Linked DNA regions of Kluyveromyces lactis. Each later gene encodes a partner of the first gene's protein in a complex. Links are inferred from orthologs where the notes say so. Each region holds a gene or a part of one and is shown in the gene's direction. Other genes may lie near its edges. The genes, in order: MRPL4, MRPL13, MRPL44, MRPL11, MRPL32, MRPL9 and RTC6.

What was found.
Region 2: MRPL4 (region 1) and MRPL13 share a complex: the UniProt entries of both Saccharomyces cerevisiae proteins name them as parts of the mitochondrial large ribosomal subunit. The link is inferred for Kluyveromyces lactis from reciprocal best matches to the Saccharomyces cerevisiae genes MRPL4 and MRPL13.
Region 3: MRPL4 (region 1) and MRPL44 share a complex: the UniProt entries of both Saccharomyces cerevisiae proteins name them as parts of the mitochondrial large ribosomal subunit. The link is inferred for Kluyveromyces lactis from reciprocal best matches to the Saccharomyces cerevisiae genes MRPL4 and MRPL44.
Region 4: MRPL4 (region 1) and MRPL11 share a complex: the UniProt entries of both Saccharomyces cerevisiae proteins name them as parts of the mitochondrial large ribosomal subunit. The link is inferred for Kluyveromyces lactis from reciprocal best matches to the Saccharomyces cerevisiae genes MRPL4 and MRPL11.
Region 5: MRPL4 (region 1) and MRPL32 share a complex: the UniProt entries of both Saccharomyces cerevisiae proteins name them as parts of the mitochondrial large ribosomal subunit. The link is inferred for Kluyveromyces lactis from reciprocal best matches to the Saccharomyces cerevisiae genes MRPL4 and MRPL32.
Region 6: MRPL4 (region 1) and MRPL9 share a complex: the UniProt entries of both Saccharomyces cerevisiae proteins name them as parts of the mitochondrial large ribosomal subunit. The link is inferred for Kluyveromyces lactis from reciprocal best matches to the Saccharomyces cerevisiae genes MRPL4 and MRPL9.
Region 7: MRPL4 (region 1) and RTC6 share a complex: the UniProt entries of both Saccharomyces cerevisiae proteins name them as parts of the mitochondrial large ribosomal subunit. The link is inferred for Kluyveromyces lactis from reciprocal best matches to the Saccharomyces cerevisiae genes MRPL4 and RTC6.

What each region holds. Positions count from the first base shown.
Region 1 is NC_006038.1:467,213-470,709, reverse strand, and holds MRPL4 (mitochondrial 54S ribosomal protein uL29m), read left to right. Parts: upstream 1-1,444; coding exon 1,445-2,443; downstream 2,444-3,497. Other genes in the region: NTE1 (lysophospholipase), read left to right, coding at 1-245; U4/U6-U5 snRNP complex subunit LSM3, read right to left, coding at 530-781; 8-oxoguanine glycosylase OGG1, read right to left, coding at 2,635-3,497. UniProt on the Saccharomyces cerevisiae protein: Component of the mitochondrial ribosome (mitoribosome), a dedicated translation machinery responsible for the synthesis of mitochondrial genome-encoded proteins, including at least some of the essential transmembrane subunits of the mitochondrial respiratory chain.
Region 2 is NC_006037.1:257,875-260,988, reverse strand, and holds MRPL13 (mitochondrial 54S ribosomal protein mL50 MRPL13), read left to right. Parts: upstream 1-1,723; coding exon 1,724-2,485; downstream 2,486-3,114. Other genes in the region: RSC4 (Rsc4p), read right to left, coding at 1-362; MEH1 (Meh1p), read right to left, coding at 693-1,124; KLLA0_A02893g (uncharacterized protein), read right to left, coding at 2,756-3,114. UniProt on the Saccharomyces cerevisiae protein: Component of the mitochondrial ribosome (mitoribosome), a dedicated translation machinery responsible for the synthesis of mitochondrial genome-encoded proteins, including at least some of the essential transmembrane subunits of the mitochondrial respiratory chain.
Region 3 is NC_006039.1:594,618-597,741, forward strand, and holds MRPL44 (mitochondrial 54S ribosomal protein mL53), read left to right. Parts: upstream 1-1,634; coding exon 1,635-1,692; intron 1,693-1,824; coding exon 1,825-2,063; downstream 2,064-3,124. Other genes in the region: DNA-directed RNA polymerase II subunit RPB7, read right to left, coding at 563-1,078; rRNA-processing protein RRP36, read left to right, coding at 2,412-3,124. UniProt on the Saccharomyces cerevisiae protein: Component of the mitochondrial ribosome (mitoribosome), a dedicated translation machinery responsible for the synthesis of mitochondrial genome-encoded proteins, including at least some of the essential transmembrane subunits of the mitochondrial respiratory chain.
Region 4 is NC_006037.1:292,253-295,605, reverse strand, and holds MRPL11 (mitochondrial 54S ribosomal protein uL10m), read left to right. Parts: upstream 1-1,539; coding exon 1,540-2,277; downstream 2,278-3,353. Other genes in the region: KLLA0_A03289g (putative nitronate monooxygenase), read left to right, coding at 1-781; TRM8 (tRNA (guanine46-N7)-methyltransferase), read left to right, coding at 2,591-3,353. UniProt on the Saccharomyces cerevisiae protein: Component of the mitochondrial ribosome (mitoribosome), a dedicated translation machinery responsible for the synthesis of mitochondrial genome-encoded proteins, including at least some of the essential transmembrane subunits of the mitochondrial respiratory chain.
Region 5 is NC_006042.1:1,182,259-1,185,407, reverse strand, and holds MRPL32 (mitochondrial 54S ribosomal protein bL32m), read left to right. Parts: upstream 1-1,720; coding exon 1,721-2,278; downstream 2,279-3,149. Other genes in the region: septin CDC10, read right to left, coding at 164-1,177; KLLA0_F12804g (uncharacterized protein), read left to right, coding at 2,757-3,149. UniProt on the Saccharomyces cerevisiae protein: Component of the mitochondrial ribosome (mitoribosome), a dedicated translation machinery responsible for the synthesis of mitochondrial genome-encoded proteins, including at least some of the essential transmembrane subunits of the mitochondrial respiratory chain.
Region 6 is NC_006041.1:1,425,787-1,429,129, forward strand, and holds MRPL9 (mitochondrial 54S ribosomal protein uL3m), read left to right. Parts: upstream 1-1,753; coding exon 1,754-2,575; downstream 2,576-3,343. Other genes in the region: snoRNA-binding rRNA-processing protein IMP3, read right to left, coding at 1-238; MRPL6 (mitochondrial 54S ribosomal protein uL6m), read left to right, coding at 767-1,411; exportin CRM1, read right to left, coding at 2,945-3,343. UniProt on the Saccharomyces cerevisiae protein: Component of the mitochondrial ribosome (mitoribosome), a dedicated translation machinery responsible for the synthesis of mitochondrial genome-encoded proteins, including at least some of the essential transmembrane subunits of the mitochondrial respiratory chain.
Region 7 is NC_006041.1:1,682,866-1,685,559, reverse strand, and holds RTC6 (mitochondrial 54S ribosomal protein bL36m), read left to right. Parts: upstream 1-1,392; coding exon 1,393-1,635; downstream 1,636-2,694. Other genes in the region: kinetochore-microtubule binding complex subunit SPC105, read right to left, coding at 1-809; tRNA (34-2'-O)-methyltransferase regulator RTT10, read right to left, coding at 1,813-2,694. UniProt on the Saccharomyces cerevisiae protein: Component of the mitochondrial ribosome (mitoribosome), a dedicated translation machinery responsible for the synthesis of mitochondrial genome-encoded proteins, including at least some of the essential transmembrane subunits of the mitochondrial respiratory chain.

The sequences.
Region 1 (3,497 bases):
CTTCTGTCAATGCCTTAGAAAGGGCTAAAAGTACACCAGGTGTGGTGTACATCAGGCCTCCTATTGAGAACTATGCGACTTTGGATTTTGGTAAGTTTGAAGAAATATACCAAGTAGGCTACGCGTACGGTCATGACTTTTTACAACATCTGCAAGAGAAAAACGAATTACCGCCAATTGCGGGTACCACAACTTCTGCTTATGCCGACAAAGAAAACATGTTACAAAGACGGAACAGTATATAAAACGAATTAACAGGAAACGCTACCCACATTTGTCGATGGTGGACATGCAGGACATAAAATCAAAGCCATGGCAATTAACGTTATAGTTTCTAAGTAACTGTAAACCGAAAGTTAAAAAAAAATTGAATAAACTAAATATATACTATACAAATGTTAGCGATGGATGTATATTGGGGGCAAAATGAGGATAGCTCACATCGCACTCAATCAATAATGAGGACATGAAGTTATTTCTTCGAATTTCCCTTATTAAATGTTGAAAGAAGAAGAAGGATACTGGACAATCATTCATCTTCTGGTGTTGTTACAAGGGCCACAAGACCACCTCTAACGAAAATCATTTCCGAAAACCTTTCGGTCGTTTTCAAATCTCCTTCTACTAGTTCATAAATGGTTTCCTTTGAATCTGAAAGAACAATATTACAATGTGAGTCGAAAGCCTGAAGAGTACCCACTAATTCACGAGCATCACGTAATTTCACATATACTCGCTCGTCTAAATTCAATTTTAATAGATCCAGAGGCGTATCAGACATCTTTGCGGCGTAAAGTGTGTATGTCTTCTATATTTATGATGCAGTCGTATTCTTACAATAACCAATAATGCAATTGATAGAGGGTACAGCAGTTAGGTTGAATGGTTTCCTTTGTCAGTTTATCAAATGGAGTACCAGGTATAGTAGAGTAGTCGATATACAATCCAAGGCTTAGTTCCATTCACACTCCAGAGCATCCTCCATAACATACTTAATCACCAAATTATTGTTAACGTACTAATTGATAAAAAGTGTTGAAGTTTTGAATTTCGATGTCAATGGAAAGCTCTGAATTATAGAATAATCAGTTAAACCAGGGAAGGTACACGTTTCCAACCATCTTTGAATGATACTGTACCTGTTGAAAGATGGCCAGGATATGCGATGCTAGTTTATCATCTTATTGCACTATGCTTCACTAAGAGAGTCAATAGTCAACCTGATATTCACGTGACTATCACATGACAAAGGCCGGGCAACCTAATGACGGACCCCGAATCAACTCTGTTCGATCAAAAAATTTTTATAACATTTAAGCAGAGGAAAGCTGAATAGGAATTAAAACATGGATGAATCAGCTAGCTGTCGTGATATTGAAGTGTTCTACCTCGATTGAGTAGCTGCAGGACGTGTTTATTATAGCAGGGATATTATATTTTCAAAATGTTCCCAGCAAGAAGGGGATTGCATACTACTTCTAGAGCATGTGCCAGGACGAGATTCACCAAACCTAAACCCAAACCAGCCAAGAGAGAGAACGTTAGACTACCTACCCAGAGGACCCATCACGATAATGATTTAAAGATTACAGCTCCTATTCCACCGGCTGCTGCCAATTTGACATGTCCAGATGATCATCCTTTATGGCAATTTTTCTCCGAGAAGAAGTTTTTAAGAACGCCCGAGGAATTGGATACGCTTTCGAGACCTTGGACCATCCCAGAGTTGAGAAGAAAATCGTTCACTGACCTACATTCTTTGTGGTACACATGTTTGAAAGAACGTAACGTATTAGCACGTGAAAACCATTTGGTGCAGTTCAACTTTGAAGCACAAACCGAAGCATACCAAGATATCTCCGAAAAGATCAGAACGACAATGTGGAGAATAAGACACGTCCTTAGCGAACGAGACTGGGCATTCAAGATAGCGAATGAGAAATTTGCTGTTGAAAAACAAGTATTTATCGAATCATTCGAAAAAGACTTTTTAGAAGCTCCTGCTAACGAAGATGAAGAGATTTTCGAATCATTGCAACGTTTTCAATATGCCATATACGGTATCTCTGAGTACATCGATGAGAACAAAGTGGACAGAACATTTGTGGATGGATTGAAAGCGGTTGCAACATTGAAGTTAAAGAAATTTGCACTAAGAAACGAGGACATCAAGAACTTTTTAGAAGAATCTAACAATACAATTGTGGATGCAGGTGAATCCTTCCTTCTGTATACATCAGAAAACACAGAATCTGCCATCGCAGAAGCATGTCAAGCGGTAAGGGAGTTGAGAGAAAATGGCTCCTCTGTGTCTAGATACGATGAATTGGAAACTGTTCAAGAATATGTTAATAAATTAGCTGAGGCTCAAATGGCAAAGGTAACAGAAGCGGAAATACAGCTGCAAGAAGAAGATGCAAAAAACAACGCTAATACACTATGATATTAATGCCATCGAAGTGATTGTATAAAGAGATAAGTGTAACCGTCCATTTGGATGAACCCAGCCTTCCTGTACATATGTATACACCAACTTAAATAACGGAATATAAAACAAAAAATTTCCTTCGACAACACTTTAATTTGACGAATAAGAATTGTATTTAAAGAGAGTTTTATTTGCAGTCAATTAATTCAATAGACCTTTTTAGCCTTTTTTACCGCTCTCCGTAGCGGCCTCCCAGTAATGCTATACTCTATCGACATAGTATCTTCAATTTTAACCGTGGACAAAGAATCTTCCGTACTGATCTCTGCCTCGTCTTTGACTACAACTTTAAAGTCTTCTTCTTCTCCAGATGCATCATAGTCCAGTTTGCGTCTTTTCACTAATTTATCACTTGTACTTGCTCCAACTGTTTTCCCAATTTCTTGTGCGAAAAGGACACATTGTGCCCAGCCCGCGTATGGGCCCCATAGATCCTGGAGCTTCCTTCTGTACATATCAAGTTCATAGTTCACCTTCTTACGTGTAATCGGTAACTTTTTGTATTCAGCCTGCAGTTCACTGATTTCCTGCTTAGTGTTGTTTAATTTGTAGTCCCTCGATGCAATCCTTGCGATGTGTACATCGACAGGAACTACCTCGTCAAATCCCAACCCTCCCATGAGAAGCACACAATCAGCTACTTTCGGACCCACACCTGGATACGCCATCAACTTCTCTTTGACATCTTGATACCCCATTTTACCCTTAATGCGCCAACTGAGCATATACTCTGAATCAGACATATCGCCTTTTTCCATAGACATCAGTTGAGCAGTTCCAATGATATATTTGGCCCTATAACCAAAGCCAAGATCTCTTAGTTTTTCTTCAGATGCTCTTTCTACGATCTGATCCGAACTTGGGAACGAATACTGCTTAGCACCATCAAACTCTGCAATTTCATCACCAAATTCAGTGGCCAAGGAATGGCACATTTTAGTGATTCTTGATATATTATTATTACTAGAACAAATGAAAGAGCATAAAGTTTCCCAGGGATTCTGGTTCA
Region 2 (3,114 bases), on another chromosome or scaffold:
CCACTATATTCGTAATCCCTGCTTTTAATTTCGTTAATAGAGATCGGTTGATCAATTTTGTAATAGTACTGTGGATGAAACTTCCTACTGGGTAGTTTGATAAAGTGTTTGAATAAAGCCTTGTGAGCTTCAACTAAATTATCCAAAGTAAATGCGATGAACAAATTCAACTTAGGAATAGTCCAATCTAGATCTACAATGAGCTCTTCTGTAGGATCCAAAGGGTGCACATAATCCACTTTGGGTAGAGCGCCGCTTCTAGGACGTTTTCCTGGTGTATATCTTGGTACATAATTCTGTTTTGAATGCTTTTGTTCGGGTTCCTCACTGGGATCTTCTGATCTGCTTCTTTTCACAGCCATAGTATTTGGCGCTTTCCAGTTTGTTTATGCTTTTTTTTTTGCCTCCTCGCTTCCTTGGCTTCTTAAATGAACAAATTTCAGTATATATGCAGCAGTCAAGGCACTTACTCTAACCGTACCTAATTGGCTCCTTTGACAAACCAAAATCGTATACTGCGTATTGTTTTATATGTCTATTCTACAAAGTTTGTATATTTCAATGTTTTCAATAAAGAGAGTGAAAGTACCTTTACAAGATTGAGAAATGTTCAGACGTATATAGTGATATATCGCATTTCAACATTTGGTGAACCCATTTTGAGTGCGCTAATAGTGCAGAAACCTATTGCGTCACGATTCGATATTGGCGACCAATGGCTTGTTATATTCCACGGTAAGGTTTTTCACTAGGTTAGCGAAGTACTTTTTGTGAAATTCTTGAATCGCCTTCCTTGTGTCCTGTTTTATTTTCGAACTGGGAAGTACCGTTAAGGGTACGTCATGTAAAATTTCTCTTTGATCTTGCACATAGCTCGAACCTAAATCGTGTGAGGATGCTACGATACCGCTGTTGCTGATCATACCTATATCTATAAGCTTATCGTTCGTATTATTCACGATTTCGGTCAATTCAAGTTCTCTTGCAAGCACTCTTTCCTTCTGTCGTTGTTCCATTTCGTTATAATCTAATTGGGCTTGTGAGCCGTACCTGTCCTGTTCCTGCAATAACGGGTCATTTTCGTCGCTATCTTGACGAAAGCAGCAACTTAGCACATTTCCCATAATATTTTAAATGTTTTAGGCAGATTTTCGGTAGCTACTGATGCTAGAATTCGTTAGTAAACGTAAACTATCTCATTGCCTTGGTGGCTTTAAGGTAAAGGAACTACACTTACTATAGATGTTGATAAAAAGCACTGGGAAGCATAAATTTCATATTCTAGTATGTGGGTTGTGGGTGTTTTGAATAGGGTAACCCCGTCTTCTTTATCTATCGGGCTACATAGATAAGCAGCTTTTAGTTACTGAATACAGTGAACATCATGCAAACCAGGAAGTACGCACTTAACTCGACCCGTTGTTAAAGACCACTATGATGCAACTATCTATCGCTTCAGATCCTGTTTCTTTCTCTCTTTAGAACCTTCCCATATGGACTACATTCTTTCTATGCCCAATTGAAAAATTGAAAAATTTCATCTAAAAACTATAAACTTACAATTTGATGAAGATATTGTATATTAGAACATTAATTGAACGGTCAAGTTCTTGATGAGCTTAAGCACAGAAGTATCTTCTAGTGTTGTCTGATTTGGCGGTTGATATCAGTTCATTAAAGCGTGGTACTGTGCATATTTTTCAATCGAAAACAAAAAAGAATAATGATGCTAGCGTCTAGGTACGTGCCAGTAGTGCGTTCATCAAGACAATTCACTTCAAGTGCAGTGCGCTCTGATTTCTTGTCATGGTTCAGAAGAAATAAAAACAAAGATGCTGGTGTCGTTTCAACACAGCCAGAATTGCAAAGAGATACAAAAGAAGTTATAAATGAGATCGAGTCCGGGAAAACAACTGTAGTGAAGAGCTCAACGGTCACAAGATTAGAGTTAACAGATGATGATTTTGTTGGTATCGATTCATCTAGAAGAGAAGAACTTATTCGTTTACAAAAGTTGGATGTCGTCCCATTCAACGAGTGGTTATCTCAGGATAAATTAAGTACCGAACAACAGTTGGAACAGGTTGTTTTGGAAAGTTATCAGGAAACTTTCGGTGATGTCCCAACGGAAGAACAACTGGGGAAACCTTTCGAAAATTTGGTAAACAAGTTCAAATTCAGTAAACTGCTACAATGCAAATCAGGACACATTATCCCAGACTACGAACTTACAAGGTTACAAACTCCATTGGAATTTAAATCGTGGTTTGAGATTAAAGTACTAAGTGGTCAACTAGGGAAATTTAAGGAATCGGAACCAAACGCCATTGATTTATCGAATATCAAATTCCCACCAAACGTGTACGTGGTTCCCGATGTCAAACCATCTGTGAAAAAACAGAAGGTGAAGAAAATCTTGGAAGAGGTCGCCGCATTGGAAGCTCAATATGAAAGAGACGCTATTGAGAAAGCTAAAAGGGATTAAACTCCGAAAACAATCTCTCTTCTGGGTTGTTTATATTTACTATCGCATATCTTTTTTTCCAATGCATTTGAACTAGGCCAGTCGGCCGCTTTTCAGATCTTTGATTTGACTTTTCCTTCAATCTAAATCCTGTACATAATATAAATACTTATACATAATGTTACTATAACCATTAGTATGAGAGATCAATCACCAAAAAAAAATTATTGTATGTGAATATATATATACTTTTATATAAGGTTTGAAAAGAGCGTGGCATTGATTGTATACCTAGTGTTTTCTCGATAACGAAAATATCACGGCAATTGACGCACCGAGAGCAACAATTACTGCTGGAAGAAGGGTTTCATTGGGAATTCCAGGAATTAATTGGTTAGATGGTTTGGGATGAGAAGGCACATTTTTTTTGAACCTATTTTGGATTAATCTATTCACAGCATCTTGTGGTACAGTCTCATATCTATAATGAACCAATAAATCAATCTTATCTAGATTCATGTTTTTATGCACAAGCACACAGTCAATCAAATCTTGATCATGAGTGATGCTAACAAGATCATTTTCATCGTCCACATATAAAATTTCCACATCATCTGAACCTCCTAGTTTTTCACCAATCAGTTCAACTA
Region 3 (3,124 bases), on another chromosome or scaffold:
CCTGCAAGAGCTCCACACAACAACTAATGATACCATGAATTAACCAACTTTTCAATTTTTACTCATAATTCTATCCTAAACTCTTTCGTCCCAAAAACCCACTGAAGAATCGGTGAAGCTAACCATCGGATTGTGTTTTCTTAATTTTGAGATAGCGCCTTTGAATCAAATGCAATTCAACGAGGGATTCTTGTTATTATTTTTATTTTATTTTATTTTATTTGTGATATCTTTAAGATAGAATCATTGACACAAATCGTCATATGTCAATTGATTCATGTGAAAGTTCTCAACAATGTATATGCTTTTAACAGATATTTTTGTAACAGTTTGTGCTTGGTACAATCAAAAAATTAATGTGACGCTATTATTAATTGCTGAGAAAAAGAAAGTACATTGACCATGCTGCTTGTTAAATTAGTTTGTTCTTTTATATTATACAAAATGCTCACAAATGAAGCAGATAACAATGATGACCGGAATTTGGAAATTTATGTCCAAAGCTATATATAGTCATAGTTGCGATTAGGTGAAAAATGTGAAAGGTTCTAGGAAAGAAATATCATATCACCCCCAAATAATCTTCCTTGATACTGCCAATGGCGTAAATAGAGTTGACTTCCGATCTTGCACCGACGATTTTTAATCTTACTCTAGATCCTTTAGTAATAATTTGTTCTGATGATTGATATGATGGAGGATTGGAACCACTGTTGAAAGTCAAATCTTCTGGCATCAAAAAAGGGGAAACGAAGACAGACAAAGGTCCAACTTCCACTTCAAAACCTAAGTTTGTACAACTAGATACGATACCATCAAGAACTTCTCCCTTGAAAGGTTTCCATACCACAGCTCTATATTTAACAGTAAACTCTGCTGACCCGTCCGTAGGCAAAATCCGTCCACGTTCAATCTCGATATTTTCACAGTCTAAAACACATAGGATATATCCGAATTTACCGGTACATGTTCCTTCCACCTCTTGTAGTAGCTTTGTCATCAAATATCTCTTCATCTGAGGTCCAAAGAATGATGGATGAAGCGTTATATTCAACGACAAATCTTTGAAGAAAAACATGGCTCTGTAGTTTATTTCGCTTCTATAAAAAAGATACTGGTCCTTCAGGCAATAAGATCAAGTTAAAGTATAGTTACAATCAAACTGAAAGTCCAATTCGAATATGAATAGTTCCTTTTTAAAAAGCTTGCCAATAGATTCACCGTATCAACGGCTGTTACAATTGAATAAACGAATGAAAAACAACCCGCACTTAGTTCAACCTGCAAACAATTAAAGGCGAGTACCTTATATCGACCTTAAATAACAATCCAAGGATCCTAAAAACCGATTGTGCTAAAAGCAGTCTTGCTTCATTTGCAAATATTGAAGTTGTTCATTTTGCAATTGGATGTTTCTTTCAATATTTTTCATTTCGTCAAACATCGCCCAAAAACATTCAAAAACTATCCGGGTAATAGTATAGCCTCTGATGAGATCGCTATTACCATTTAAACAGTTTTAGGCAAAAAGCTAGAGATGAATACAGCTGTGAAGTATGTTTTTGGATGAGGACGTCTCATCAGAGTAATACTTGGGAGTTTGTCAGCTGTTGTCAAGAGAACTATAGAGCAACATGATCACGAAATATTTTACTAAGGCAGTTGTGAAATTCAATCCATTAGGAAAGGAAGGTATGTCTTCAAAGAAAGAGAAATCATTAGTTGGACATCATTTAAAACTACCGAACACCATTACTAACATAATATGATTTACGGTTGTTTTACTATTAAAACATCAATCGTCTCATTTATCTTCATCTACAGCCAAGACAGCTAGGTTGTTCTTAAGTGCTATTCCTCCTTCACAAAGAACAAGTGGATTACAATTGCAAAACGAAGTTTTGGTTTCTGGCTCTAATAAGAAACCTACAGTGAAAGTTACTTTCAAAGATAAAACTGAATTGGAAGCTGATCCAAGCAGTATGAACTTCATGGAACTAGGGAACTACTTTGATCGTCATTCAAGAAAATTGGCCCTAAAGGAAAGTATTGAATCTCAATGATTTCTTGTGACGAGATACCCATCACAAAATTCATGTATATATAACAATAAGTAAAAGAAATTTAATGTAGTATAAGATATAAAACACTACAATGCTTCAGTGGATTAAATTGAGTCAACGCTGTTGGTATGATCACAGACCTTATTATTTGAAGCTCCCTTCCTGTCCATTATTCATTTACATCGCCTGAATAGGAATTTCAAGTTTCTTCCAGATATTGAAAATTTTATACGGTGCCAATGCAGAAGCGATGAGCTAAACTTAAAATCAAGAAGAACTTCTATGTAGAAGCGACTGATAACTAACCTGTAAGCAGCCACGGCCACAAAAACTACCAGTAATATACAAATGTCATTTTACTTCAAGAATATCAAGCCAGATCTTCATTCAGGAAACGAAGATGAGGAAGATGACATAGCATCAATCATAAGAATAAACGATACAAGTGATGCAGAAGGTTCACAAAGCGAAGATGAGCTAAAGACACTCTCATTTGGATCTTTGAAGAAAGCTGATGAAATGATGGACAATGAGGAACAAACCAGCAGAAAAAGCAAAAGCAAAGCGAATGGTGAGAAGAAACATTTGAATAAGCCAAAATCAAGAGAGTTGACTGAGAAACAAAGGAAACTTGATGATGGACAGAGACGTCAGAGCGGATTACAGGAAGAAGAAGCACAACAAAAGTCACAGTCTATCAAAATGTTTGCAGAAGAATCTTTCGGAGAAGAAAGTGATTCTGATAGTGATGGCGGCTTTTTCGATGAAGAATCAAACGATGAGGCTAATCAGAATGGTAAAAAGAAGAAAGGTAAAAGAAAGCACGCACCAACCGAATCATCGTCAAAGAAGAAAGTGCGCTCCATGAGAAAGATTCCTGGGTTAGAAGATAATAAGAGTAAATCCATCTATCAAGATGTCAGGTTTGATAAAGCCATGGGAAAGTCAGAAGACTTGGCAAAAATCCGTCAACGATACAAGTTCTTGGATGAGTACAGAGAAAAAGAGATCAACGAATTGGATAGCATGCTCCATGATAGAAAATTCCTAAGTAAAATCAG
Region 4 (3,353 bases), on another chromosome or scaffold:
GTTCCATACTAAACCTGAAAAGGAATTAACCAAGATCTATAACAGTTTCTTGGAAGATCCAGAAATGCTTGCAGTGGTGTTAGAATTGAAACCGAAAGTGGTTAGTTTCCATTTCGGAGTGCCATCTGCGAGCACTTTAAAATCATTGAAGCAAGCGGGAGTTGTCACGATGGCAAGTGTGACTCAATTAAGTGAGGCTGAATTGGCTATTGGGCACGGGATAGATATCCTAATCGCTCAAGGTGTCGAAGCGGGTGGTCATCGGGGAATGTTTAACGCATCATTAGATCCGGCAATATCCACGAGAGATTTGGTGAAATTACTAAAAGCAAAGTTGGGCACAACTATTCCTATAGTAGCAGCAGGAGGAATAATGTCTGGTCAAGATATTAAAGGAATGATGGAAGTAGGTGCCAGTGGTGCTCAATTAGGAACCGCATTTGTCCAATGCAAAGAATCGGCTGCGTCAGAAAATTACAGGAAATTATTATTTGACAAAACAAGAAATGACATAACTCAAATCACAAGCAGCATATCAGGTCGTCCGGCGCGAGCTTTGTTGAATAGTTGGCACACTGAGGTGGATATTCCAACTAGAGTGATACATCCAGGGTATCCATTTACATACGATGTGGGGAAGCAGTTAAATGCCGTGTCTATTCCAGATCATGATGGTACCGCAAATTCTTTCGCAGCACATTGGGCAGGATCCAATGTCAGCCGTATCCGTGATATGGATGCGAGACAACTAATGCAAACCCTTGTCGATGAGATGAGATAATTTTCCAGACCGTTACAGCACAGAGCTATGCTGTTTCAAATGTACGAAAATCCCGAATAGCGACAAATTCCACAATGGAACGATGAAGTTACACTAATTGTGCATTATTCTCGTCAGTTACATGACTGCATTTATTTTTTCAATGACGAAGTAGAGTTGCATCTCTTCACAATTTCACTACGACCCTATAAATCCCGGACTACCTTTTGTAAGGAAGAAATCTAATCTTTCGACATCCCTCCTAGCTTGGACAGGAGACGTCTATAACGGATTACATTATTTAAGCATGATGTTGACGATAGCAATGACAGTTTGCAGTTCGAAAAGAAGAGCAGAACTCACCAATTCCTCTATCATTTTAATTTGAACAGTCACGTGAATCGACCTTTGCCTCATTCGGGATTATATATACTATAAAGAAGATATATAAAAAATTACCAATATACATTTTTTGCTGCCATGGAAAATATACGAGAAAGTCTTCATTCCCTTCTCCATTGTTGATACCGATTTTGGCACTCATACCACTTCCAATTACCATTCATACCTTCTTACATTGAATCTAACTATGCCTCTCGTCGGTTTATTGTACCAAGTATTGAAATTCGACGATACTGAAAAATCTGAAAAAAAATGAAAAATCTGAAAAATCACTGAAGATTGATATATTGTAGTGAAGAGATATATTGGTGGGAATGAATTCGCTTAAAGTGATTCGAATCCACAGCTCAGGTCATCACCAACCACTCAAAATAGCCATGTTGTCACTTTTGTTAAGAAGCCCAGTGGTGGTATCCCGTGTCTCATATGCTTCTCCGTTTTTGGTTAGGAGGTTTGCCTCTACGCAAATTGAGAGAACTGTCTCGGATGCAGTTAGAAGAACAGTAAAGCCTTTGGACTCTCGTAAGACTTTCCTAATCGACTCTTACAAAAACCTGATGGAAACCAGTCCGGTAATGTTGTTTTGTCATCATAACAATTTGATGAAAGGGGAGAATGCACACTTCAGAGAAGAAATTAATAAGGTAGGAGGCAAGTTAACAATCTTGAGAAACAATTTGTTCCAAGTATACTTGAGAAACTCACGCAAAAATGACCCAGCTGCTCCAGCGAAACGTTCAGAACAAGACTGGAAGCATCCTTTACTGCCCTTGTTCAAAGGTCCTACGGCAGCAATTTCGTTCCCAGAGACTGATCCGGCAAAGGTAAAAAAAGTCATGAAATTATTGGAAAAAGCCCAAGACAAGTTATTCGTTATTGGCGCCAAAGTTGAAAATGATGCGTACGATTTGAGACAATTGGATTCTTTCAAGGATCTACCAACAAAAAGTCAATTACAATCAGAATTACTGGGACTATTGCACGTCTTGAGCGGTGCTGGTTTAGTTCAAACTTTAGAAGCTGGCTCAAACATGTTGTACCTAACTCTAAAGTCTCACGAAGATAATATTAACCCAGATAAGCAGAAAAACGAGAATGACAGCGAAGGAAATTAAAGTCTTTTGCCCCATCATGAAATGTAATATAAATCATTTTTACGTATCGATGTACTTAAATAAACCCATCACATATTAATATAAACTCCTGTACATATTCTTTGCACGTGACTTTTTTTGATCTCATTTGTATATTGTAAAGAAATAAAAAGTTTTTGAACATGCACTGAATCAATTGAGTCGAGAAAACCTAGGCGATGAGGTTACAATTTTTCAAAGCAGTTACTTCCACCAACCGTTAATGTGTGTTGAATAAACATAATTGAATTCTAACAGTGACTCAAATTTCCTATAACTGCCTTTGTTAGAAAATATGAGTTTTAGTACTAGACGCCAGGCGTATCGTGCTGAGAAGCAAGATCATCGCAAAGAATTGAAACATGTCAAGATCGATGAATCTGTGATTGAAAAGGTGGATAAACTATCTTTACCTAAAAAAAAGTTTTACAGACAAAGAGCACATTCGAATCCATTCAGTGATCATCAGTTGGAGTATCCAATAAGCCCAGCTCATATGGACTGGTCAAAATTGTACCCTCATTTCTACGATAGTGAAAAGAAGAAAATGACGAAAGATGTTACCATTGCGGATATCGGATGTGGTTATGGTGGTCTTATGATCGATTTATCTCCAGAATTTCCCGATGAAATGATCTTGGGTATGGAGATTCGTGTTCAAGTAACGAATTATGTCGAAGATAGAATTATTGCATTGAGAACCAACCACGCGAAGGAAAACGGATATCAAAACATTAATGTATTAAGAGGTAATGCAATGAAATTCTTGCCAAATTTTTTTAATAAGGGACAGTTGTCCAAGATATTTTTCTGTTTCCCAGATCCCCATTTCAAGCAAAGAAAGCATAAAGCAAGAATCGTCACTGATACATTACTAAGTGAGTACGCATATGTGTTGAAAGAGGGTGGTATCATTTATACAATCACCGATGTTCTAGATCTACATGAATGGATGGTAAAACACTTAGAAGAACATCCTCTATTCGAAAGGCTTTCTGAAGAATGGGAAGCACAGGATAAATGTGTAAGCATAATGAGAAATGCTACAGAGGAAGGTA
Region 5 (3,149 bases), on another chromosome or scaffold:
ATATATGGAAATGAAGCGACATTTTACTAGGGCAGGATTCAAACCAGTGAAGAACACAAAAAAAATAATTGGCACAGCTCTTGCGTACCGGTAAAACGCTACATTTTTTTGAAATAAAGACGCCGTTTCTTCTAGAAGTCTTCCCGGCTCTTTTTTCCACCTATTAACGCAGCATTGTTGTTGATGTCTGAGACATGTGTGCAGAAGTTCTAGCGTTGGCGTTCTCCTTCAAAGCAATCAATTGCTTGGATCTGAAACTTTCGTAGTGGATCAAAGCTGTAGTCTCAATCAAATCTTGCAAGTGTGTCCTGATCAAAAATTCTCTTAAATATACGAACTCACATTGGTTGATGTCTTCGACATTGATGGCACCCCAACGAGTTTTTCTTCCTCTTACTAGTTCACCGTTCACTGTAATCTCCTTTTCAGATCCTACAACGGCAAATGGAATAATAGATCTTATACTTTTATTCAGTTCCACTTCTTCATCGGTCAGATCGTCTAAATCATATGGATAGATTCTGAAATTGTACTTTTTAAATTCTTCTTGTAAGATGTTTCTGAAGTTAGCTCTCTCATTCAACGTCAAAGTATCAGCTTTAGCGATCACCGGGATAACATTAGCGATTTCTGTCAATCTCTTCAAAGCAGCAACGTCAAGTTCTGTTAGACCCTTACCGTTAGGTTGGATGAAATATAACACTGCATGTACTCGAGTGTCTACAATGTGTCTTTCACGTTGAGCAGTCAACTCTTTACGTAAATATTGAGAGTGTTGCTCCTTGATGTACTTGACAATAGGTTCCCAAACTTTGTCGTTATTTATCTGGTCACCAAAACCTGGAGTGTCAATCACGTTCACGTTCAAACGTACACGGTCTTCCAATAAAGAATGTGTTGAAACCTTGATCTCGGTGGTCTTACTAATTGGTTCCTGAGTGATGTCCTTACCAGTAGAAGAATCAACCAAGTGAGATGCAAACAAAGTGTTGATCAAAGTACTCTTACCCAGACCAGAATGTCCAACGACCATAACGTTGAATTGAAATCCTCTCTTCAACAAACGATGTTCAATCTGTGAAGTAATCGAATCAAACCCAACATAAGAAGATGGATTTACCAAAGCCAACCCATCAGAAGAAGAAGTCATACCAGCTGCAGCAGTACTAGATGCCATTGTTTTTGTTTATGCGTGTATTTTACCTTTAATAATTCCTTTCGCGTAGTAGAGATGTATATAAGTCAAATCCAAATGATCAAAGCTTTACGTGTTTTAGTGTTTGGAAGTTAAAATAATGAAAAACCTCTAAGTTATAAAAACAATTAACCGCAATAACAAAAATTCAAACAATGAGTAGCAATTAACCACAGAAACGTCAAAAAAAAGTAATCACAATCTTACTTATTCTAAAGAATACAAGATCTGATTCCTTACTTATATTTTGTTGACACACTTATTTCGTTTCGAGTTCCATTTTTAGTTTTTGTGATTTTTCGTCTTTTTCATCGAAATCGAAAAAGGGACACAGATCATCACCAAATCAGGGTAATGTTGAAAATTCTTTCTTATAATCCAATTCGTCAATACCAATTTGAATTGACGAAGTTCAAACAGAGTTAGACGAGCGACCTAGAGAAACTAGTATCTGTCCCTATCGATTGAACTTATCCTTTCTCCTCTTCATCATAGTATCATACCAGCAGCGAAAATAATTAGAGGATGTCTTTTGGAGCTGTAACGGAATCTTTTAGCAGAGTGTTGCTGGAAACAGCGACATCAATATTGCCTCGTTGGAGCACTCCAGCAGCTGGTACTGCATTGCCACAGAAACTGCTGGAATTGCTTGAAAGAAACCAACGTGAAAAGTCTTCACCTCAAGCGGATTACTTTACGAATAACGGGATCCTTCTAGCTGTGCCCAAGAAGAAAGTGTCGCATCAGAAGAAGAGACAAAAGTTATATGCGCCTGGAGACAAACAGCTGAAAATGATCAACCATTTGAACAAATGCCCTTCATGTGGGCATTACAAGAAGGCACATACGCTATGTATGCATTGTGTGGGTGAAATCCGTCACATCTGGAAGGCTCACACTAACGTTGAACAAGTGGAGCCTATTCAAGAACAAGAGTTGTCTGAATTGGACAAGCGTATCTTGTATCCTGGTAGAAAAGAAACTGAATACACAAAGAAACTGAAGGACAAGGATGCTTATTTGGAGAGACGTATGAAAACTCTGCCAGTGGAGAGATCTGAGAAGAAAGAAGGATCACATTAAACCCTCTTCTCATTGAATCCAGTACAAAATAACACATCGGCGGAAATGACTAAAAAAAAACAACCTTTTATCAAGTTCAATCCCCCCATCACCTTGTATATATATGTCGAATACACGTCCCAGATTTTAGCAGGTTATTTCAGTGTCAGCATTCACCTCCTGTAGTAATAGTTAGATTCATTATCTCATCACAATCAACTCTACATAGAATCAAATCACATACAAAAATTTTCCTAGAGCAGGCTTGATGCCAGGCCTAAAGGCGTGAAAATCAGTCGAGAAAAGATCAGATTGAAAAGAAAAAAATCATGAGTGAAAAGATTTGAAGTAGCGATGAGATGAGATGAGGTGCGAATACACGATACAGGATTAAGCAGGACCTGAAAACTGGCATCAGTTTAACAGTTTGGTCTGATATTGGTTGTTTTGTTTTGTTTCACTTTAAATTGACAATAAGGCTGACAATTTTCCATACAGTATGACAACGACACGACAGTTCAAGAAAGTGAAAAAGGTGCCAAATTACAGGATTCCTGTATTTACCAGCATCCCAACGCATCCGTTAGGGGTAAAACCTAGCGGGAATTCTTTATTAGAGGGTGCAGATCCTCAGGAAACTAGAAAGCTTAGGAAAAAGCTGTTAGGCTCTCTGTCAGTGCTACCAGAAGATCTTATAATCGAAATACTCGCATATATCGATGATCCAAATGACTTGCAGAACCTCGGATGTAGTTCTAGGATCCTTTACGCGTACACCTACGATGAGGAACTATGGAGAAAGATTTATACCAAGGAGTACTTGAAGTTGGAATCGGAAAGTCCAGAGCAAGAGCGTATTTCGCCGTTTGGATGTTCAAGGTGGAGGGGCTCG
Region 6 (3,343 bases), on another chromosome or scaffold:
CTAGCAAGAGCTGCTCGTGCTTGATACGGAAGGGATCTGTAGGTTGTAAAAGCGATAGCTTATGTGCCAAACGACGCACATCACCACATATTCTGTTATATTTATGATAATCCTCACGGTTCTGGATATGGTACGTACGCATCACCTGCGTATCTCTGTGGTTCTGGTCCTGTTTCCATTCGTAGAAATCGACCTTCTTGAGAAGCTTCTGCTCATGATGTTTCAATGCTCTTACCATACTGTATTACCTAGTGTATCTGCTTGGAGTATCCTATCCTTATATTGGCTATGAGACCACCAAATGACTTGCTGAACGCTCTTGAAACCACTTCAGCCTGCTATATCATTCAGTAATTGAGATGAGATGACGATGCGTAGGCGATGAGCTTGAAATTTTTCAAAAAGAAAGGGCAAAGATCAACAAGTCACGTGATGCACAGGATAATATAAGCACAAGGTATTTACTCCTGTGTTTCGACGAAGAGCAGTCTCCACATCCCATTTCGACCCAGGAGTGGCCTAGATGGTCACCAATCGAGAGTAACAGCCTAAGTATATCTTATTTAACAATCGTCAAAGCAATTAAAGTTACCCTCCCATACTATCTCACTATTAAAATTTTGATTCCAAGTGAAAAATTGGTTGAAAGACGCATAGAGATGAGTGCTGGAAGAACAGATTGATATAGACGCATTTGATCTAATATACCCAGTCATATAGCGGCTGCAAAGTGGGCTAGACTATTTCCAGGATATACACAATTACCATGACATTTGTTTCCAGAAGACTCTTTTCTGTGTCGGCTCTTCTGCGCTCACATATTGGTTCTTCTCCGGTGTATTTGACACCGGAGACCAAGTTGGTGGTGGAATCAATGAAACTGCCAAAGATCATCAGAAAGGGTAACAAATCTCTTAAGTTATCTCAGAACGTAACTGTATCGGGTCCTTTGGGGAAGATTGATATGGAAATCCCAGATTTCGTGGAGATAAAGCAGGATGGATCTTCGGGAAAAATCGAAGTTGCAGTGAAGGATTCTACCGACAAGACGCAAAGATCCATGTGGGGGACGGTAAGATCTCATATAAATAATCATATCACAGGCGTGAATGAGAGCCATATGGCTGTTCTGAAGTTCGTTGGTACCGGTTACAGAGCTCAATTGGAGGAAAATAACACCTTTGTCAACGTCAAAGTCGGTGCGTCGGTAAGACAAGGCCTACCTATCCCAGAGGGAATCATAGTTAAGTCTCCGGTACCCACGTCGTTGATCGTGGAAGGTGTCAACAAGCAACAAGTGCTACTCTTCGCTGCCAACTTGAGAAAATTCCATCCTCCAGAACCATATAAGGGTAAAGGTATCTACGTTAACAATGAAACTATCAAGATCAAGGATAAGAAGATCAAATGATGACGATAGAATGATGATTATAATTATTATAATATTAAATAACATGTAAATACAGAAGCATAAACATACACTTCCAATAACCGTCAAGGGCACACTTAATTTGTGTTAAATCAGTGAGAGAACTACGTGCCGTTTTAATCACGTGATCTATAGGTAACTTTATCGATTCAAAAAATTTTCAATATCGAAACAGCTTTAACAATTATACAGAGATGGAAACAGGTTTCAATAGAGTCTTTAAACTACATTTTAAATCCTTTACAGTTTCTCCAGCATTGCCAAGAGGTTATCTGGATTGACACATTTGTTATCAATCGACCAGTCTTTGAAAATTGGGGAATAATGGCATTTATTGGCAGTCCTTCGTCGAAGATTTGGACAAGACTTTTCTCACAAAGTGGAGTATCGAACGGTGCCAAGTTAGTCGCACCATCCGTGGCAAGCAGCATTCATCTAGATCCTGTAGATATTAAACATTCTCCAGAAAATGCGCTAAAGAGAAGAAGATTACCTCTACGTTGTGGTGCTTTGAGTAAAAAAGTAGGGATGATGCCGTATTTCGAGAAAGAGACTGGTAAACGTATAGCAGCTACTGTACTTCAGTTGGACAATAACGAAGTTATACTACACAGAACTCCAGCTGAAAACAATTACTGGGCTTGCCAAATTGGTTATGGTAACAAGTCGCCGGAGAATGTTACCAGACAAATGTTGGGACATTTCGCTGCACATGTTGTGAATCCAAAGGAAAAAGTTACCGAGTTTAGAGTCAAGGACGAATCTGGACTACTACCAGTGGGTTCTTTAATCAAACCTTCGTGGTTCAAGCCTGGCCAATACGTTGATTTAAGATCAATCAGCAAAGGTAAGGGTTTCCAAGGTGTAATGAAACGTTATGGATTCAAAGGTTTGAAGGCATCCCACGGTGTTTCCGTATCTCACAGATCTGGTGGTTCTTACGGTCAAAATCAAACACCTGGTCGTGTGTTGCCTGGGAAAAAGATGCCTGGTCATATGGGTGTCGACACTGTAACAATTCAAAACGTGCAAGTGCTGGACGTCAACGACGAAACAGGTACTGTCTTGGTGAAGGGCTCTGTCGCAGGTCCAAATGGTGCATTCGTTAAGATCCAAGATGCTATCAAAAAGCCAACCCCAGTATAAAAAACTGTGATTAAGAAATTGAATCTTTTCAGTCGTTTAGACACCGTCCCGAAATCATTTGGAAAGCATGCCTTTCTACGGTTATTATTAACAATCTATACCTGTATATACACCAATTATAAAATAGTAACTGCTGCAACGTTGAGTGTCCTTTTCAACCAGATATTTAATGGCTTTCATACGTTGATACTGGATCCTGGGTATATGTCGGAGAGAATTGATTACAATTTTTTTCTCTATGTGGGAAGATATACGGCCTGCTATGTATATATTTGCCTTGCTTGACAAGTGTTAGTTTCAGCTTTCATTGGATCCGCAGAAACTTTTTCGTTTCTTGACCATGCTGTACATTTCTGTAAGGTGTTATCTTTACTCATCATCATCCAATTCCGATGGTTTCAATAACCCACCGATCTTGGAAGCTCTTTCTCTTTCAAGTTTATGTTGTTCCGCGAGAGCTTGTTCTTTGTCCTCTGCGAACAAATAATCGGTTGGATCTCCACCGAACTCCTTGATCTGGACCAAGAAATCTCTAATAGTACCAGTGAAATGCTTTGGATCATGATATTGTTTGAGTAGCGCTTGAATGAAGTTCATAACCTGTTCACCACTCAAATGAGGGAATGCATTGCTTAACATGGTTGCTAGATAGTTAGCCAAGTAAGCTTGATTAGAAGTGACTGCAGGAGCTTCATCTTCCTTGTATAATGGTACAGCTATTCTATTTTCTTCTACTCTGGCAATCAAATTCATTAAAAGATGAGCTTG
Region 7 (2,694 bases), on another chromosome or scaffold:
ACTATCTGTGACTCTCGCATCTCCAGAGGAGCCTGCACGTTTGTAAATTCCATTGTTTCCTCTGTAATTGCTGGTATCTTAGGTAATTTGAAAGCAGATTCTGAATCTGCATCTAGCGTAGGTTTTTCTGCATCCATCCGTATTTGGTCAGTTATTTCCATAGACTCTTCTTCGTTAAAGCGGCGTTTCTGCGGTTCTGTAAGGTCCATTGTTTCCTCCAAAACTTGGTCTTCGTTACCATTCTCTTCTTCTTCTTCCGCAGCAGTAGAGGTTTCTTGCGGTACCACATTATCGTCTGGTTTAGCGCTATGTTTTGCAAATAACTGTGTTATATCCATTGAAACCTCTTTGTCGAACACAGGTTGGTACCCATCATTTTTCGGTTCGCTTGGAGACTCCAATTTTTGGAATATTGAACCTATCGGACTAGTAAATTCCATTGTTTCTCCAGAATTGTCGTTATCATTTTTGGTATCGGCCATAGAGGCTTCAGCTACTGCCACTTCCAATTTTAAAGCGGATTTCCTTCGAGGTTCCCTTACATTTTGAATCGATTGTGGTATGAATTCGAACTTGTGCAAAGTCACATCTGGTGCAAAGGACACACGGCGATTTCCCTTCGAAATCGCAGCACTGATCCGGGATGTCGTATTGTTTCCGTCCAGTATATCTTCTTTGGTAATTCCCTCAGTAGGAAACTGTATCTGGGACATAGTCAAATTATGACTGGTGTTAGTTGTATCATCATCCTTAAATTTTTGCTTAAGGATACTTCTCGGAAGCAAAGACAATCGTTTTGGATCTGTCATATGAAGCGAGACTATCAACACAGGGTGAAATATGATAATAAATGGAAACTTAACCTAAATATTAGTCCTTAAGTTTATGATGATTCGGTATTTGTGTGTCAATATATTGATCTAAAATTCGATTGTTTACGTTTTCGAAGTTCAATGTTTTCGATTCAGAGCGCTGCTGCACATACAGTGAGAACCGAGAAAAAGGATAAAACAACTGCCTTGAAGAGTCTCTTAGAAAGGATGGGTGTACTTCATCAATTATTTATTTGTTAGTGATTCGAAACGGTCTTCAGATTTGCCCAAAGATGTTCACTAGATGAGGATGTTCAAGATCTCAGGTCATAACCATCACGTGCTATAGTCCGGGTAAATATCTTAATCTCCATTGAAACTATTTTGAAAAATTATCGAAGGCCTTTTCATGGTAGATCATCAGCTATAGAGGGCATGTTCAGTCGGTGTGATGCCTTATTGACGATTGTGGACTCCATTAGTACGTTTCAAGACCGTGGGTGATATCAAAAACTGAAAACTCTTCACAGGTATAACTCTGGAGCCCGATATAATATAAAGAGAGGGAAATACATACATAATGAGCACACTTTTCGGAAGTACGATGTTGAACTCGTTGACAAGACTGACAAGGCCAGCTGTGAAAAGTATCAATATGCTATCTATGCCAATGATGGGTCTTATGAACCCTCCTTTGACCAGAGGTTTTAAGGTAAGAACTTCCATCAAGAAGTTCTGTAACGATTGTTACATGGTTAGACGTAAGGGCAGAGTGTACGTTTACTGTAAGTCCAATAAGAAGCATAAACAACGTCAAGGTTGAATTACAATCGCCCTCCCATTCGTCCCAATCTTTCATGTATATAGATAAGTCATAATGGAGGATGTGTTCTTTTCTTGAATGTGGAAAAATGCAGCCTTCTTTCTATAAATAATTTCCATTCTATACTAATAAACTGGTTTTAAATATATAAAATTCTGAAGTTTAGATGGTTAGATATTATTCATCTCGCCAACAGGAAAGTCCTAATCCTCCTATTAATATAAGTGTTTTCTGGACGTTTGGTAACGTAACTATATCACTGGAACCGGTATCTGCTACTGTGGTATATTTGCTCTCCGTTATTTTCAGTTTGTCATTCGTAATGTCCCTAATTCTTATGACCTGGTCCACTGATGTAGCCAATAATTTTGTGTCATTATCTAACAGATTCACTGATGTTACTGTTGATGAAGCAGCATACGAATCGTGATCTAGTATTTCGGCTTTCATCGTGTAGTTGTCATTGTTCGTAAATTTAGTGATGGCTACAGCATTGTCATCACCCCCAGAATATACTTTGAATGAATCCGAAGACTTGTCAAGCTTCACGTCGAGTGATTTGATACCTGCTGTGTGTACCAGGATTTTTTCGGACCAGTTTTGTAATTGTTTTGTTTCCAATTTGAGGCCCCTGTCAAAAAGCTCATTATTCCTTATCTCGAACGGAACGGAATTAGTGATGTCCCATGTAATTAAATGACCATCTGTTGGTGCAATCAGAAGTTTCAAGCAATTCTGTAACGGAATGAAAGCAACGTTCCAGATACAACAGGTTTCATATCTTCCATCTATGATCAAGGTGAAAGAATTTTGCTCGTTAAAGTAGTGCCATACTTTCACTGAACTGTCACTGTATACTGTAGCCATTATGAAATCGCAAGTGTCACCATTCAAAAATAGCACATCGAAATCCATTATCCGAAGGTCTGGATTGTTCATAGAAGGGATTAGTTTCTGTTTCAAATTCACATATGGATGAGAGAATTGATCATTCAATTCCCATAAGAATAGCTCTTCCCTTGCACTACACGTAATGAAAAAATTGTCACAGATGAATTT